Linked DNA regions of Lonchura striata. The protein of the gene in region 2 purifies or fractionates together with the protein of the main gene of each other region. This does not show direct contact. Links are inferred from orthologs where the notes say so. Each region holds a gene or a part of one and is shown on either strand. Other genes may lie near its edges.

Region 1 (7,333 bases), on a different chromosome or scaffold from region 2:
GAGGTTAATACCATAGTGAAATTCCCAGACAGGACTAAAGAAATTAAAAATAAACTTTTAGGAAACATCACCTTATAAACAACGTCTGGCATGAAAGAACAGACAATGCTGCTGTTATACAACTGTGGAAATTCCTGGTAGAGTTGTTTCAGGGCATCAACTGCCTGCAATTAGAGACACACAGAGATGTTATACACACACTCATATTTAATTTACACTGCAAAGTCATTTTACAACAATCTTAAAAACACTTCCCTGCTGTGTTGCCAGATTGAAGTAGAAAGGGAGAAGAAAAATAGCATCTTGTTTATAGCATTAACACAGAAATGGTATTTTGGTTTTTAGCAAAAGAATTTCTGTTCATTATTTACAACGAGTAGGATTCTCAGTGTTTGAAATACCCTTAAATATGTCATGGATATAATTTTTTAGTACTACCTAAGCTTAAGTTGAAGAGGAAAATTATTTATTGCTATGTTTTGCTAAACTAAAGAAAGAAATTAATTTATATAAAATGTTAGTGATGGATCATTTGCATCTGCCTTCACTAATGCAAATTATAGATCCCTTTCTGGAGGCTGAAGATGAGGTTTTGACTCCCCTCAGCACCGCAGGGAATTCCCTTTGCTCTGTTTCACAGCAGTGCTGTGAGCTGAGTGCAACACTTGCACAAGGCTTGGGCAATTTTAAGCTGCAGCTTCCCAGGACAACTCTGGGTGACACAAGCAGCAGACCTGGGCTTGCTCATGTTAAAGAAGGGACTTGGTCTGAGACCAACACAACAGCAGGTCAGAAACCCAAAGAAGGGGTGAGGGGAGGTGTCATGCTGCAGTGAGCAGTACCTGGTTTGCATGGCCTTTGACATCGAAGTAGATTGTGAGATTGTGATGCATAGACTCCACAACAGCTTCTCTCAGAGTTGGTACCTTTTCATCTTGGAACTGGCTCCTGTAGAAACAGAGAACTCCTTGGAATGCAGCCAACACACACCTGCACATACATGGGCCTGCATATTGCCACCCACACAGGGCTGATTCCAGCACAGTTTGCTGCTGCACTGGAACTGCAGCTGGGATCCAGTGCTCACAGGCCCCGTGTCTGCCCCAAAACACCAGCCCCAGTTCTTCACCTCCTTCCCCAGATCCCACAAATAAGCTTTCAGTCCCAACTGCTGCCTTCCTCCTGCTCCCACTGCACTTCCCAGCCCTAGTCAGAAATGCAGATCCTGGCAGAACAGGCAAGACAAGCTGAGGATTTAGCAGAAGCAGCTTCACCCATTGTTACACTGTGACACGAAATAACTTTCAGAAGCAGGCTAGGTGTAAAAGGAAAGAAAACGAACTTTGAAAAGCAAACTTTATTTTCTAACTCCCCTATATATACAACATATATATATATAACACAAATATATATATATTTATATATATATATATAACAAAATGACAGCAGATTAGAGGGTGAAACTACCACCTCTCTAATTACACTAGTCAAACTAACAGTTCATCAATTCTCTCTACCTACAAAGAAAAACACAAAACAATCATTATTTGCATAAACAGTGTGTGAGAAAAATCAGTTAAAACATGTAAATATCAGAAAGTGTAAGAACTTTTAAAAGGACTTTAAAACTCTCAAAAAAAACCAAAGTAACAACCCATCAATAAATCATTCCTGATGGGGTGACAGTTCATTCACTCCTGACAGTGAACAGCAGCTGTTCAGCAGTCACTGCCTGTGGAAATTCCCCCTGCATGGCCCAAGTGATCACCCTTCCAGTGAGACAGGGAAGATACTCCTTGTGCCACACACTCACAGGAGGCACCTCTGCAGCTCTGGAATTCCCTAATACAGTGTCTCAGGAGCACACACTGCGAGTTCTTCCTCTGAAATGGACTCACTTATGATACTGCAGAAGTTGCCTTGTTATCAAATTCTTTGTAATTATATATTATATACATATATTATATGTATATATTATGTTATTATATGTATGTACTATTATATTATATACATATATTATATGTATATAACATTTTTATCAAATTCTTAGTAATGTATAAAAATATTTTCCCCTGCATACCCCTAGGAAGGACCTAATCAGCCACTAGGGTCACAGTGAGGCCACCACCCAAAATCTGTCCAGCTCCTCTTTAACAGTATAAACCTGATGTATAAGATCTCCAAAACACAATCAGTCAAGAAATACATGTGAATAAAACTAATCTTAGAAGTAATTCCTCTAGACAATTCTGACATATCATGAAAATCCCAGCACCTTCAGTGTCCTGCAGTCAATTTAGGACAAGCTTATGTAGATATTGACCTGTTTCACATCAGATGCCTGTGGATTTTGTCCTTGACTGTGTTTTTTTTTAATGTGTTTCACTGTTCTTAATCTACTGATGAGTAAAGAGATATAGTTTCATATGCCTAAAAAATCAAATTAGAAGTAATTTGACTAAGTTTTAGTCAAATTTTGGACTAAGTTTTAAATTAAAAGAAAAATTTAATCAGTGACAGATCAAATCAATAATGTTGTTCATCTAGAATTATTTTCCCACTGTCAAAAGTGTAATTTCAGAACAGTTCATTTACCGTAGCCTGTGTTTCGCAGATGGATCAAGCTTCCTGATTTCCTCAAAAGTCAGGTCCTGCAGTCTCCCAGCCCCATCAGTTGTCCTTTCAACTGTGTCATCGTGCATGAGGATGGGGACACCATCTGCACTAAATTCAAGATCCAGCTCCACACCCGTTGCTCCATTCTCAGCTGCCTTAAAAAAAATTTTAAAAATCACAACAGAAGAGACAGCTTTATAGATTTGACACAGGTACAGCTATAATTAGCTTGTATTTTGGTAAAAAATAATAAAACATTAATGGACTTTTCAGTTGTCTTCATCTGCAGAAAAAAAGTAGGTTTTATCCAAGTCATTGCTGAGCATTCAAAAATCAGCTGAACCATCTAATCTATTTTACAGCTGAAATCATAATGATTCTGCCTCAGTCTTGGGATTGGAACTTTCAGGATAAAAATGCAGAAAAGAATCCTGCTCTCTCCTGATGTAATAACCCTGGAGTCCTTATGTTATTTTCTAAAAGACAAGAGAAGCAAATGTCTACACTTTAACATGCAGTCAACGCTGTTCACCACGTGTATTCCAAGCAGCAGATGGATGGCAAATCCCTGCTCCTCTCAGGAATGGCTTTATCACAGAGCAAGAAGCAGCCAGGCTGCCTTAGAACATTTCATACACCCTGTTCCTGCCCTGGATCTTTCCCAAAAGCTCTTTAGAAAAACATTTGAGTAAAGTGTTAACAACACCAATTGCTCTGAAGGACAAATGCCCTCCTGGGAAAAGGGACAAACACCGGGTACAGAGGTTGCCTCCAGGTGTCTGCTTTGTAAGGAGTGTGCAGCTTCAGAATTTATCAGGACTGAGAATCCTGTCTCACACAAAGGCAAGAGATCCTCAGAGCAGCAACGTCTCAGCCTCACAGAAACACTACATTCCAGAGACTGGTAATCACTATCTCAAATGATTCTCAGAAAGAGACTGTGAATCCTGGCTGTGCCTTGGTGCCTTGCAGATGAGGCAGCAGTAAGGCATGGCAGGGCTGCCCACAGTGAATCTGGCACCAGAATTTTCTCCTAAATGTGGATTTTCATCACAGATCTTCAAGGTTTAAAAAAACACACAACCAGTTCCTGACTTGCTGTGCACTCTCTGTGTGCTGTTGCTACATCAGGGAAATCCAGTATTTCATTACTGCTGCACGGCTGAGTTACCCATCAGCACCAAGGCTACAACAGTTCCCACAAGAGCCGGATCTGAAGTTCCCTTTGGGATGAAGGACCCCCCGCCCACCCAGCTTCCAGCAGCTCTGGAAGGACGGCCGAGTTATCCGGGCGAGGGCGGCTCGCCGCGGGAGGGGCGGATCGGCAGGCAAAGCCCCGGGGCCCGCGCTGACCTGTCGGATGGCCGCCAGCGTGTTCTCGGGCGCGTCGTGCGCGCCGCCGCGGTGCGCGATGCGGCCGGCGGCGCCGCGGGGCCGCAGCACGCGCTGCGCGCTCTGGGGCGCCGCGGGCTCCAGCGCCAAGAGCTGCAGCGCCAGGTACAGCCCGGCCGGCAGCAGGCAGGCCAGCGCCGGGCTGCGGCTCAGCGCCAGCGCCAGCACCAGCAGAGCCGTCAGCGGGCTCAGCAGGCCCTCCCCGTGGCACAGCATGGCGCGGCCGGGGCCGGGGCCGGGCCGGGGTCACGGCCGCTGTCGGGCCGGAACCGCGGCCGCCGTCTCGCCGACGGTGACGGCGGCGCCATCAGCCAATCAGCACTCGGCTGTCTGCCGCAGCAGCCAATCAGCGCCCGCAGTGTCCGCGCGGCGCCCGCCTGCCGCGCTGAGGGCGGGCCCGGGCCCCAGGCTCCTCCTCAGGTAACGCCGGGAGCGGCGTGCGGGAAGAGGCTGTGCCTGATGGACACTGAGGGGAATAGGGGCTGTGCCTGATGGACACTGAGGGGAGCGGCAGGGGCTGTGCCTTAAGGACACTGAGGGGAATAAGGGCTGTGCCTGATGGACACTGAGGGGAATAGGGGCTGTGCCTGATGGACACTGAGGGGAGCGGCAGGGGCTGTGCCTTAAGGACACTGAGGGGAATAGGGGCTGTGCCTGATGGACACTGAGAGAAACAAACAGGGGCTGTGCCTGATGGACACTGAGGGAAATAAGGACTGTGCCTGATGGAACACGGGGCACTGACGGAAACAGGGGTTGTCTGATGGAACATGGGCTCTGCGTGAAACAAAGGCTGTTCCTGATGGAACACTGAGTGAAACAAAGGCTGTTCCTGATGGAACACGGGGCTCTGAGGGAAGCGGGGTGTTCCTGATGGAACATGGTGCGGATGAAAGTGAAGGGTGCTAATGGAAGGAAAGGCAGCGCTGTCCAGGGAGTCGCAGAACACCCGTGTGGATGGAAAGTGTTGAGGGCTCTCCGCAGCTATGCCAGCTAGCTAATTAGAAACATAACATCCATAGTGATTATTTTCCAGCTGTTTGCTGGGTTTGTTATAGACAGTGTTATATATAGTGTGTTCTATGCAGCCGTGCCTGTCCGCAGGCCAGCCCGGGAGCCGTGGGAGGAGCAGGCGGTGCCTCCTGCCCGGCCAGAGGCGGCTGCTGGCCAGGGAGCGCGGCTCCGGCCACCCGACACCTGTGAACATCCGCCAAGAACCCAGAGGTGAGCAACAAGGCACGAAAACAACCGGTTAAGTGAAGGGTGGGGAACCTGAGCAGGATTAGTCTAGAAGTGGGATAGCAAAGTGAGGAACTAGCAGTTTGTGTTGATGTGACTGGGGGGTTTGACCCTCTTTGGGTATCTGTGGGAAGTATGGGAAGCAACTGACTTTCCAGTGAGGAGCTCTGTCCAACTAGAGGTAGAACAGGCACAAGACCATGTTCTGAATGGTTGTAGTTTTTTTTTTTTTTTTTTTTTTTTTTTTTTTTGGTTTAGTTTTGTTTTTTGTTTAAATTGCTGAGATGAAGATTTGTCACATAATGTCCTAGCTGGTTCTGAGCATCTCAGATACTCTGTTAGTGGCTTTGCGCTTCTGCCAGGTGTAGCTGAAGAAAAATCAGAGATATACATGCAATTGCACAACAATTAATGGGCTGTCTAATTAGATGTCTAACATACTTTTAAAACCTTTTGATAAACAATAGCATTTGTTAAGATTAAAGATGAAATTTAAAAAAATAAATCCCCTCAATGATCGCTGAAGAGGTAACAGATGATGAACTTATTTTTTGAAACTAGAATGACAGCTTTAACAGCTCTAAATGCTGGGAATTAGATGCGTCCATATATTTAAATTAATTATGCCTGGCAAACAAGTGTGGATTTCCCTTCCACCTGACCTGCCTGACAGGTGAGTGTTACCTGCTGCTGGACTGGCTAGACCGGCAGCTGGCTGCAGCCCGGGCGGGAGGGATAGGATGTCTGGTGATGCCCGCATGGATGCTGTCCTGGTGGATGCTGTCCTCGCAGAGCATGGCAACAGGTGCTCACCTTTATCTCTCTTATCTTAGCGTGCTCGCTGAAACTGATACCTGCAGCGGCACATCCACAGGGACCGCACAGCCGTGTGGTCTGTAATGGGATGAAGCAGAACAGATCACACCCGTGCTCGCAGGGGAGCTTATCTGGGGGAGCTGTGGGTGGAAATGGGAGCTGCGGGACGGCGCTGCAGCCCCTGTCACCGGGCTGGGCCGGGGCTGCCTTCGCTGTCCCGCGGTGCGAGCGCACACGGTGTCGGCGGCGCCGGGCCCCCGTGCTCTGGGGGCGGAGCGGCGGGCGGGGCGCGCCGGGCCCGTGGAGCGGCGGCCCGGCCGTTGCGCGGCGGTTGCCGGAGCTGCCGCCAGTCCCGCGCAGGTACCGAGCGTTGGACGGGCCCGGGCCCGGGGGGAGCGCCGGGGCGGGGCGGGCGTGCATCGGCCCCGGCTGGGGCGGGCTCCGTGCCCCGCAGCGGCGGGCAGGAACCGGCCGAAGCGGCGTGCCGGCGAACAAAGCCTTGTCAGGCCTTGCCCGGCGCTGCGGGGCTCGCTCCGGTGGGGACGGGCAGTGAGACATCTTTCAGGTATTTGGCCGCTTTTAAGGATACGAGGCTGCAATTTGATTTTTTTTTTTTTTTCTTTGTGATGTAAGTATTGGCGTCTGTTCATACAGACGTGGAAGCTCGCGGGAGTGAGACACGAATTCCTCTCAGCCCCCTAAACATATAAAGGCTTTTTATTTTTTTTTAATTTTTTTTTTTAATTCAATTGGGCTGCAGGTTTGTTTGGGCCGGGTTTTGGGGTTTTTGTAACAATTGATAGGATGTGTCTCGTTGTGGAAGATCTCAAAGGTTTAGTCTTTGATGGAAATTATCTATAGTAGGTACAGTTTTGTAAATCCTAATTATCACAATGCGTGCTTTCTTCTCTGTGTGCCCGTGATCATAATTTTTGCTCTTACATGCAGATTCTCCTTTAATAGGGGAAAATAAGGAAGAATTTTGCAGGCTTTGTTAATGGTAGAAAGAAGACAAACTTAATTCAGTTTTCTAACGTAGAATTTGCTTCCCAAAACGTAGAGACACAGAATTAGTGGTGTTATTGTTTTCCCCTTCAGTGTCTTGGAAGTACATGGATGAGTAATGTTATTATTCTTTGCAGGTTAGACAACATGAAGATGGAGGACTATGAAATATTCTGTAGGAAGCATCTTTCCAGAATCCAAGAAGAGGCAATAAAAGGAAAAACCTCCTTGACTGTTCAGAACAAAAATATCTCCCTCATTCAAT
Region 2 (7,677 bases):
TTTAGGGAAGAAGGTACAACAAAACCCTCAAGTTCCCTTCTTCTCAAGCACCTTGACCATGATATCCAGCAATCTGTCTGCTAGCTCCTCTTGATGAGGCAGAGTATCTGGATCAACTTTCATGAGCTTCCTCCAATCTAAAACAGGTGCCATATTGAAGGTATGACTTCTTTTTTCCTGGAACAAAGATTAAAATAACAGTTATCAGGTATTATCAGTGCAAACCAATTTTAGGTCAAATGATTTAATGGAGGCTGGCCACTGAACACACCAGATGACTTCTAATAACTGTAACACTGATCAACATTCTGTTCACATTTTGATCTATTGCAATCTAGGAGGCTATAATAAAAATACTTTTTCTTTATGTTAAGAATTACACCATCCGTACTCAATGAATTCTTAAAACTATTAGTGAAGATCAGGACACACATGAAACCTGTATGTTAACTTCAATATCCTTGTTTTCTTCCCTATCTTTTAATTTGGTATTTTTATGCCAGTGAACAAACACAAGAATTATTATCTCTAATATTTAAAACACAACACTTTCAGTTTGATACTGTGAGCACCAACTTCTTGACATTGTATTAAACATTTATTTTTGGTTAGAATACTTGAATTGACAAAGGACATTAATAAACCTGGAAACTGAGAAAAATCTCATCAGAAAGTGGTGTAAAGCTTTTTCTACTGCTTACCTACTGGTTGTTGTGGGCCACAGTGATTTCTCACATACCTGAAAGTCAATGCAGTATCTGAAAAAGGCAGAAGGGATAGGAAATCTTGGATTATTCTGTTCTTTGGAGCTGTCTCTAGACTTTCTGATCAATATTTCAAAAAGTAAATTCTGCCAAATTTAGAACAGAATATATTTAATCGACTTATTGCCCTAAATTATTATTATAGCACAAATGGTTAATAAAAATTAAGAAAGAAATAAAGCTAACTACAATAGTAAATGCAGTATTATTCAAAAAAACTAATGACACAGCAGGGGTATATATTTTATAGGAAAAAATCAAGCTCAATCAATAACTTCAGCAATGCTGTATACGGAATACAGCATTTTGAGATCTGATCCAGCACACACCCTGTTCCTCATTCAGCAGTTTAAAGACTCAACAACTGAAACCTCCTTCATTAATAAAAGGCTGAAACTGATATTACTTTCCAAAACAAATATGTCTAAGCACTCCGAAAGAAGAGCTGTCACAGAAATACAACTGTACACTTAATGGAGGATAAAAAAAACCTTCATCCTTTCTGAGTATGTGAACTACTTGAAAGGTCCCCTATATTTACTAAATTTCTTCAATATTTGCTAATCATATAACATGTATTATATTCAACCCATGACTTCACAAGGATAACACCTTGTATACATTATTGCTTTTCTGTTTTGTTGTAATGGCAAAGGATAATCCAAGGAGAATACTGGCACTTTGACTCATTCAGTTAACTGAATACTACTTGATTTCAGCAACATACTTGTCTAAGGATCAAAAGTCTTAAACACATTCATTTTTTCTTAAGTAATGAGATGTAAAATTTAGGATTTTTAAATGCTCAACAATCAAAACTATTCTGAAAGCAAACACACAAACTCACTACTGTTAATCCTTTCCTACCTTCCATCTCTTCATATATCTTTTCCCCTTAGCTTACAAAATAATGTCCTAAGAAAATATCAGTCCTAAAGTTTTATCCAGAAGGATAAAACATAATTGAATTGTACATAAACAACTGAATCCAACTTGGTGGGAGAGCAGCTACAGTAAAGTAGGGGGGCACAACCTATGCACGGATTATGTTCCACAGTATATACATAGTGTGAAAGAATTTATTTAAGTGAAAAGTTTTTCATCATTTTGCTCATCTGTTGTCATCAACTAAAACCCGTGGTTTTAGTAAACAGATGATCCATGTGATGAAGCGCTGAGCTCATGGGTCTACAAAATGTGTGAAATAGATGGGGATTTGGTATTAGTTACCACAAGATTTTCTGGATTTATCCAGGGAATTAAGCACACATAAAACGGCCAGATAAAGTTCAGCAGACTTAGATGGAAAAGGAAGTCTGGAGGGTATGCTCAAGTACTACCAGAACAACAGTGCCCTGGTCTGACTACAGGAAACCACGCGAGCCAAGCTCACATGGAAATATCTTACCATTGCAGTGAGATCAAGCACCACTGGGAAGAGCTGACCTTTTCCCACCAGGGTGTGTATAATGGGCAGCAGAGTAATGTGCACAGGAGGGAGACTTAACATCAAGAAGCACCACAGTCACGCGGGAGATGTGATCTGCTAACTCCGCATTTGTTTACACTGGGTATTCCAGTTTAAGCTGCTTTCGACTTTCAAATTGCATTTACCCGGAGTAGCTCTGCGAAGCACAAGATCTTAATTACAAAACCCCAATCAAGAGAGGATCTTCGCAGGTTCCCATTGTTTCCTGTTTGGCATACCCCAGACACAGGATACAGTGACAGCCCGGGATCCCTCCAGGATGCTGCTGAGACAGCTTTGTCCCCGTTTCATCGCAGCTCTACTGAACTAACAGTTTGCCTTATTCTGCACTCGCCCCCGCAGCGAGGCGCGCAGAGCAGCAGCCGCGGGCAGACGCGGCGGTCGCTCCAGCCGCGGGCTCCGCCGCCCGCGCCGCCCGGGGCCCGCAGGAGCGGAGAGCCCCGCCGCCCCCGGCCCGGGGCTCCCGGCGGAGCGCGGGCCGCTCGGGCTGCGGCAGCTTCGGTCTCCTTGCCCGGAGCACCCCCCGCCCCGTGGCCTCACCGCTCCCGGGGGATGACGGTGGCCGCTGCCAGGCGACGCCATCGGACTCTCCCGCAGATCCGGATACTCGTGGGCGCAGGGAAAGTCAGCGCTTCCGTGGCACCCACAGACAAGCCCCACGGCGCCAAGCGGGCTCTCCCGGTCCCGATGGGCAGCCAAGCGGGCAGGGCGCGATCCCCGCCGACAGCGCCGCTTCGCCGGGGCAACGGCCCCTAGCGCCGCCCCCGCCACCGGGCGGGGTCTACGGGACTACAGCTCCCGGCATGCATCCGGGCCGACCGCACCGCCCGCCTTTTTCCCGACAGCCTCTAGGGGGCGGAGAGCGGCGCGGCGCGCGTGCGCCGTGTGCGGCGGCGGCGGCGCGCGCGGTGGGTGTCGGTTCCGGCGGCGGGGCCGCGGTCCCGGTCCCGGTCCCGGTGTTTGTCCCGGCCTCAGGTAGGGCGGGCACGGCCCCTGCGGCCCGCCACGGGCCTTGCCGGGGATGGGGGGAGGAAGGGAGGGTGGAGGGGTCCGGTGTAGCTGCTGCCCGCGGTGGTTTCGGTCCGCCGGCCGTGCCCGCCGTGCCGCGTCGCTGGGCACCCGCGCCTGCCGCGCTGCCGGGCGGCCCCGACCGCTGCCACGGCGCTTGAGCGGCGTCCGGGACCGCGCCCTGGCTCCGCCGCCCAGCCTGCCCTTTCCTTCCCTGCCTCGCCCCAAGCTGCGGGCAGCGTGTCGGTTCCTGCCCGGCCGGCGGCTGCCCGGGTGCGCCTGTGCTTTGGGAATACGGAGGGAACAGTGGGGGCCGGAAGGCACGGGAAAAATCACACCTATAAACTACTTGAATCCATTGGGTACTGTTAGCCAGCAAGTCTGAGTTTTGGTTGTGGTCTGATAACGGAGGAAGTTTGGGATCCTGTGTTTTAGTTAAATGGGTGTGAAAACATCTTATCAAATAAAAACAGTACCATTGTAGGCGTGTTTATCTTTTTGCATTTGTTTTTTCAATAGCTGTGGAGAGCTGAAGTGGATTTGGGGTTTTTGTTTCTTTTTAATGGTAAGAGAAAGGTCCTTTTTTTTTCGTCCTTTTTTTGGATTAATAATTGTTTTCAGTTGTTTTGCTATCTCTTAATCCATGTTGATGTTTACTAGAGACTGACAAGATGCAAAATGCCTTGCACTCCTTATAGTTATGCAGTTGTTCCAGTCACAGCACAACTCCAAAGACTTCCATATCTCAGCTAGGGGTTGGATAATTATAGTTCTGTATTAGGTACAGAAAGCAAACTGTATACTTAGGGAAGGGAAGAAGACTGGGTATATTTAATGAATGGGTAATGTTACTAAAAATTAAAAAATTATAAAATTAATTATGATTAAGTGTAAAACAATGATTTCTTAGTAGCAGGGAATTTTATAGGTATAGGAAGTGACACAGAAAATAATGTCACCTTAGTCACAAACTAAGCCTTCAGGAAAGGAATATTTCTGTGGTAGAGAAAATATTCCATTGATGCTAGAATGCTTCTGTATAGGAGGTTTTTTTTAAAATCATCATCATCATAACCAGTTGTTAATGCCAGTGTAGCTATTTAATGTACTTTATTTAATATGCATCAGCATTTTTGAGTGTTCTGTTGCAGAATCAGCAGAGAGCATGTTATTACATTTACTGGTAGTGAAACCATATCTGGGTTTCAATTGTGTAGTGCAGCTAGTAAAGACCATTGGTGCAGAAGTAAAAGGTATTTGGATTTGAAGCTGGCATGGGAACTCCAAAAGTTAAAAAACAGTAAAAGGAATTGAAGTATTAATGCCAAATGAAAATGAAAATATTCAAAATACAGCATGGCATGGACCAAGTAAATTAGTTTTTCTTATGTTTTGCACCACTTCATATGATGAACTTTGTGTAAGTGAATCTTCTTTTAGTGGGATTAGATACTTACAGTTCTGGAGCCAATAAATAAATTCAACTGCACAGTGAGCGGTTTGACCTACTCTGTTAGAAGAGTTAGGCATACTTGTTAAATCACAGCTTTGATAACAGTGTGCCCTTGCAAAGACCTAACAGAAAAACCTCACCCTGAAAAGCCTAATGGAATGTTATTTAAAGTACGGAGGAAATCGTATACAGACCCAGCGTAAGTAAGGACAGAGTAGCAGAGTCTAAAGGCTGTGTTCTCAGTTTATACCTCACATGTAGCTTTTGTTCATTTATTCTTTGGAGTAAACAAGCAAGCAGTTTCTGCTGTTGCATTTCTGGAACACTGAGAGCGATAAGTGTTATTTTAGAGACACTTTTTGTATCAGTAAGGCCACAAAAGATGTTTTATGTAGTCACTAAACAGACTGGGTATTATTTTGCTACTGTTTAACATTGAAATGTGAGATTCTGTTACTAATTTAAGTTTCTAAGTCCTTAAAGTACAAGCAAGACCTGTGTGGTTTATATTTCAAGTGGCATGTACCAGTTACATTGAACAAATTGAAGATAAACCACCAGCTAAATCAGTATCTTTGTCTCACCCATTTTAAACTGTGTTACATTTTGGTCCTTGTTTCATCAGAGTAACCTAAGATGTCACAACTGTTAGTCCAGCCGCCAGGTGGCCAGCAAGTTCTTTTCCAGTGGGAGATCTTTCATCTGGCTTGCAACACGTGTTCTGACTTTGTATCAGAACTTCCAGTGCTCTTCTCATTAATCCTTCAGAACCATGTGAAGAGAAGGCTGGAGGCCATGAGCTTCCTATATAGTGAAGAGTATTTCCTAGTAGTCCCATGCCTCTTGATCTGGTAGTGAAAACCTTGCAGAAGGTTTTCACAATAAAACTTTTCGTGTAATATTTATCCTGGTTTAGGATTTCAGCAAGATAAAAAGGAAATTCAGGCATGTTTTGTATTATTTCTCCTTTCATATTTCCAAATACTTGTTTTCTAGATGAGATTCAAGCCCAATCTCAGCTGTGCATCTAAGTTGCTTCATATTGGAGTTGTGTCTTGGAAGTGGCAAAAATAAGCAAAGGCTAGCAAGTAGGAAATAAAAATATCATTTTAATTCAGCTTCTGAGGCTGTGCTAATATCCTAATTTGTAAGTGACTGTACCAGCGGTTTGTATATATCTCTGCTGATGTTCAGCTACCAGCTCTTAGATGAACTAGTTGCTCACCTGTTTAAAAATAGTTGCTCACCTATTTAAAAATAAAAGTAACCCTAGGAGTGGTTTTAACAGCTTTTAACTTTATCACCTTTGATAATTTGAAGGTTTTTTGCGTGAACTGTAAATAATGTTCTAAGCAGTTCAGAACCTTCAGTGATGAATAAAGTTTGTGTCTAGTACATAAATATCCAGTATTGCCTCATTATTCTTTAGTAAATTGGCTTAGCACGTTGTTAATGCCTTTCAATCCATGCAAGTGCCATTACTCAATAGAAGAAACAAATTTAAATGTATGTTTGTGTTTTCTTATATTCTAAAAGTGCTTTGACTATTTTGGTCGTTGTTACTTTGTTTTTTCTCGGTGCTTTTTTTCAGTTTTGTGAGACTCTTACGTTTTACTCTTGTCTGTTATTCTTGAAGACTGCGTGAAGTATTAGATTGATCTCAAGAAGCTGGAACAGGAAAACTATGTACTTTATGAGCCAAATGGACTTGAGAGTTCTGGTTCTATTTTGTCCTTTCCATTTAATGTCTCTGTACAAATGTGAAAATGGTGCAGTGCAAAGTGCAGATTTCTGTGCCAAACAGCCTCAGAAATTTAGTCCAATGATAGGCTGTTTTGCAGCCTGGGTATTCTTTCTTTTGCAGTTGACTCTGATGACTACAGTGCATTTTCTGACTATCAAGGTTTACCTTGCTGTTCATTGTTTTCATCTGTATATTCTTCATGATGGTCAGATATTGTTGTAAATTAAAGTATCCAATAGAAGTCTTTGTAATATAGTATGTCTGTCCTGATTTCATCCAGTCTGTGGCTGTGCACTAGACCAAAAGCTGGCAGTCATACCCAAGGGGTGGTTAAGGTATCTGAGGGGCAGTCTTAGAAGCTGTCAAAGTAGTAGGTAGGTGAGATGAAAAAATAACCTGAGGGATGTTCAGTCTGTTTGCATGTTTAGGACTAGGCAGTGATGTGGAACAAGGGCAGTTCACCCTTGCAGCAAGTCTCTTTTAACAAAGAAGTTGTTAAGCAACATTTTGCAGGTGTTTATCAAATACATCCATCACTGGATGTGAAGTTCTGGCACTTGCAAGACCATACTTGGGTTGATCAGCATGTCACTTGGGTATAAGAAGGAGAATTATTTCCACTCACGTGAGCAGCCCAGTCATATCAAGGCTTCAGCAGCCTCTTGCACGTCTGTGATTTGCAAGGATCTCAGTCTTATATACTCCTTACATGGCTTCTTACTTTCCAACATCAAACTGATAATAGATTGGTTGGTGTGAAAGCAATTTTGGTTGCCAAGAAGCAGTTGCTGTTTTCCACTGAGTTTAATGGCAGTCATACTTTCGCCTGGCTTACCAAGTACAGATGATCTTTTATAAACCTCTGCTTTAGTTTTGCATTCTCAACATGTTGGTGATCATTGCAGGTTTGGAGTTTGGAGTGTGAAGGTGGACCCAGCTACAGTAGCAGATAGGAGGTGGTAGTTCTGATGGCAAGACTTGCTCAAAATCTGCATTGTTATGCTAACATAAAGGAATGCAATTTTTTTATTCCATATTTATGCTTTAAGTCAGCAAAAGCATTAAAAGTACCCTGTAATCAAAGCAGGTGGAAAAAAGTAATTTTCGTAACTCTGTGTATCATTATGGTACATTTCAAGAAAATAAGACCTTAGAATGCCAGAATGCAAGTCAGAAGTAGTAAAGTACCTGTGCTGCAATTTTGTGCAATCTACAAGTT

The links. The genes of interacting proteins can lie anywhere in the genome.
Region 1: the proteins of CEP290 (region 2) and CCP110 purify together in Homo sapiens (co-immunoprecipitation; 6 studies listed by BioGRID and IntAct, with this or other methods). This does not show direct contact. The link is inferred for Lonchura striata from reciprocal best matches to the Homo sapiens genes CEP290 and CCP110.

The regions. Positions count from the first base shown.
Region 1 is NC_134618.1:10,063,394-10,070,726, forward strand, and holds the start of CCP110 (centriolar coiled-coil protein of 110 kDa), read left to right. Parts: upstream 1-4,303; 5' UTR 4,304-4,428; intron 4,429-5,096; 5' UTR 5,097-5,232; intron 5,233-6,337; exon of another isoform or gene 6,338-6,423; intron 6,424-6,505; exon of another isoform or gene 6,506-6,628; intron 6,629-7,205; 5' UTR 7,206-7,215; coding exon 7,216-7,333. Other genes in the region: GDE1 (glycerophosphodiester phosphodiesterase 1), read right to left, coding at 72-164, 843-948, 2,596-2,771, 3,970-4,224.
Region 2 is NC_134607.1:51,705,117-51,712,793, forward strand, and holds the start of CEP290 (centrosomal protein of 290 kDa), read right to left. Parts: upstream 3,041-7,677; 5' UTR 2,794-3,040; intron 2,390-2,793; 5' UTR 2,173-2,389; intron 759-2,172; 5' UTR 702-758; intron 178-701; 5' UTR 154-177; coding exon 52-153; intron 1-51. UniProt on the Homo sapiens protein: Involved in early and late steps in cilia formation. Its association with CCP110 is required for inhibition of primary cilia formation by CCP110.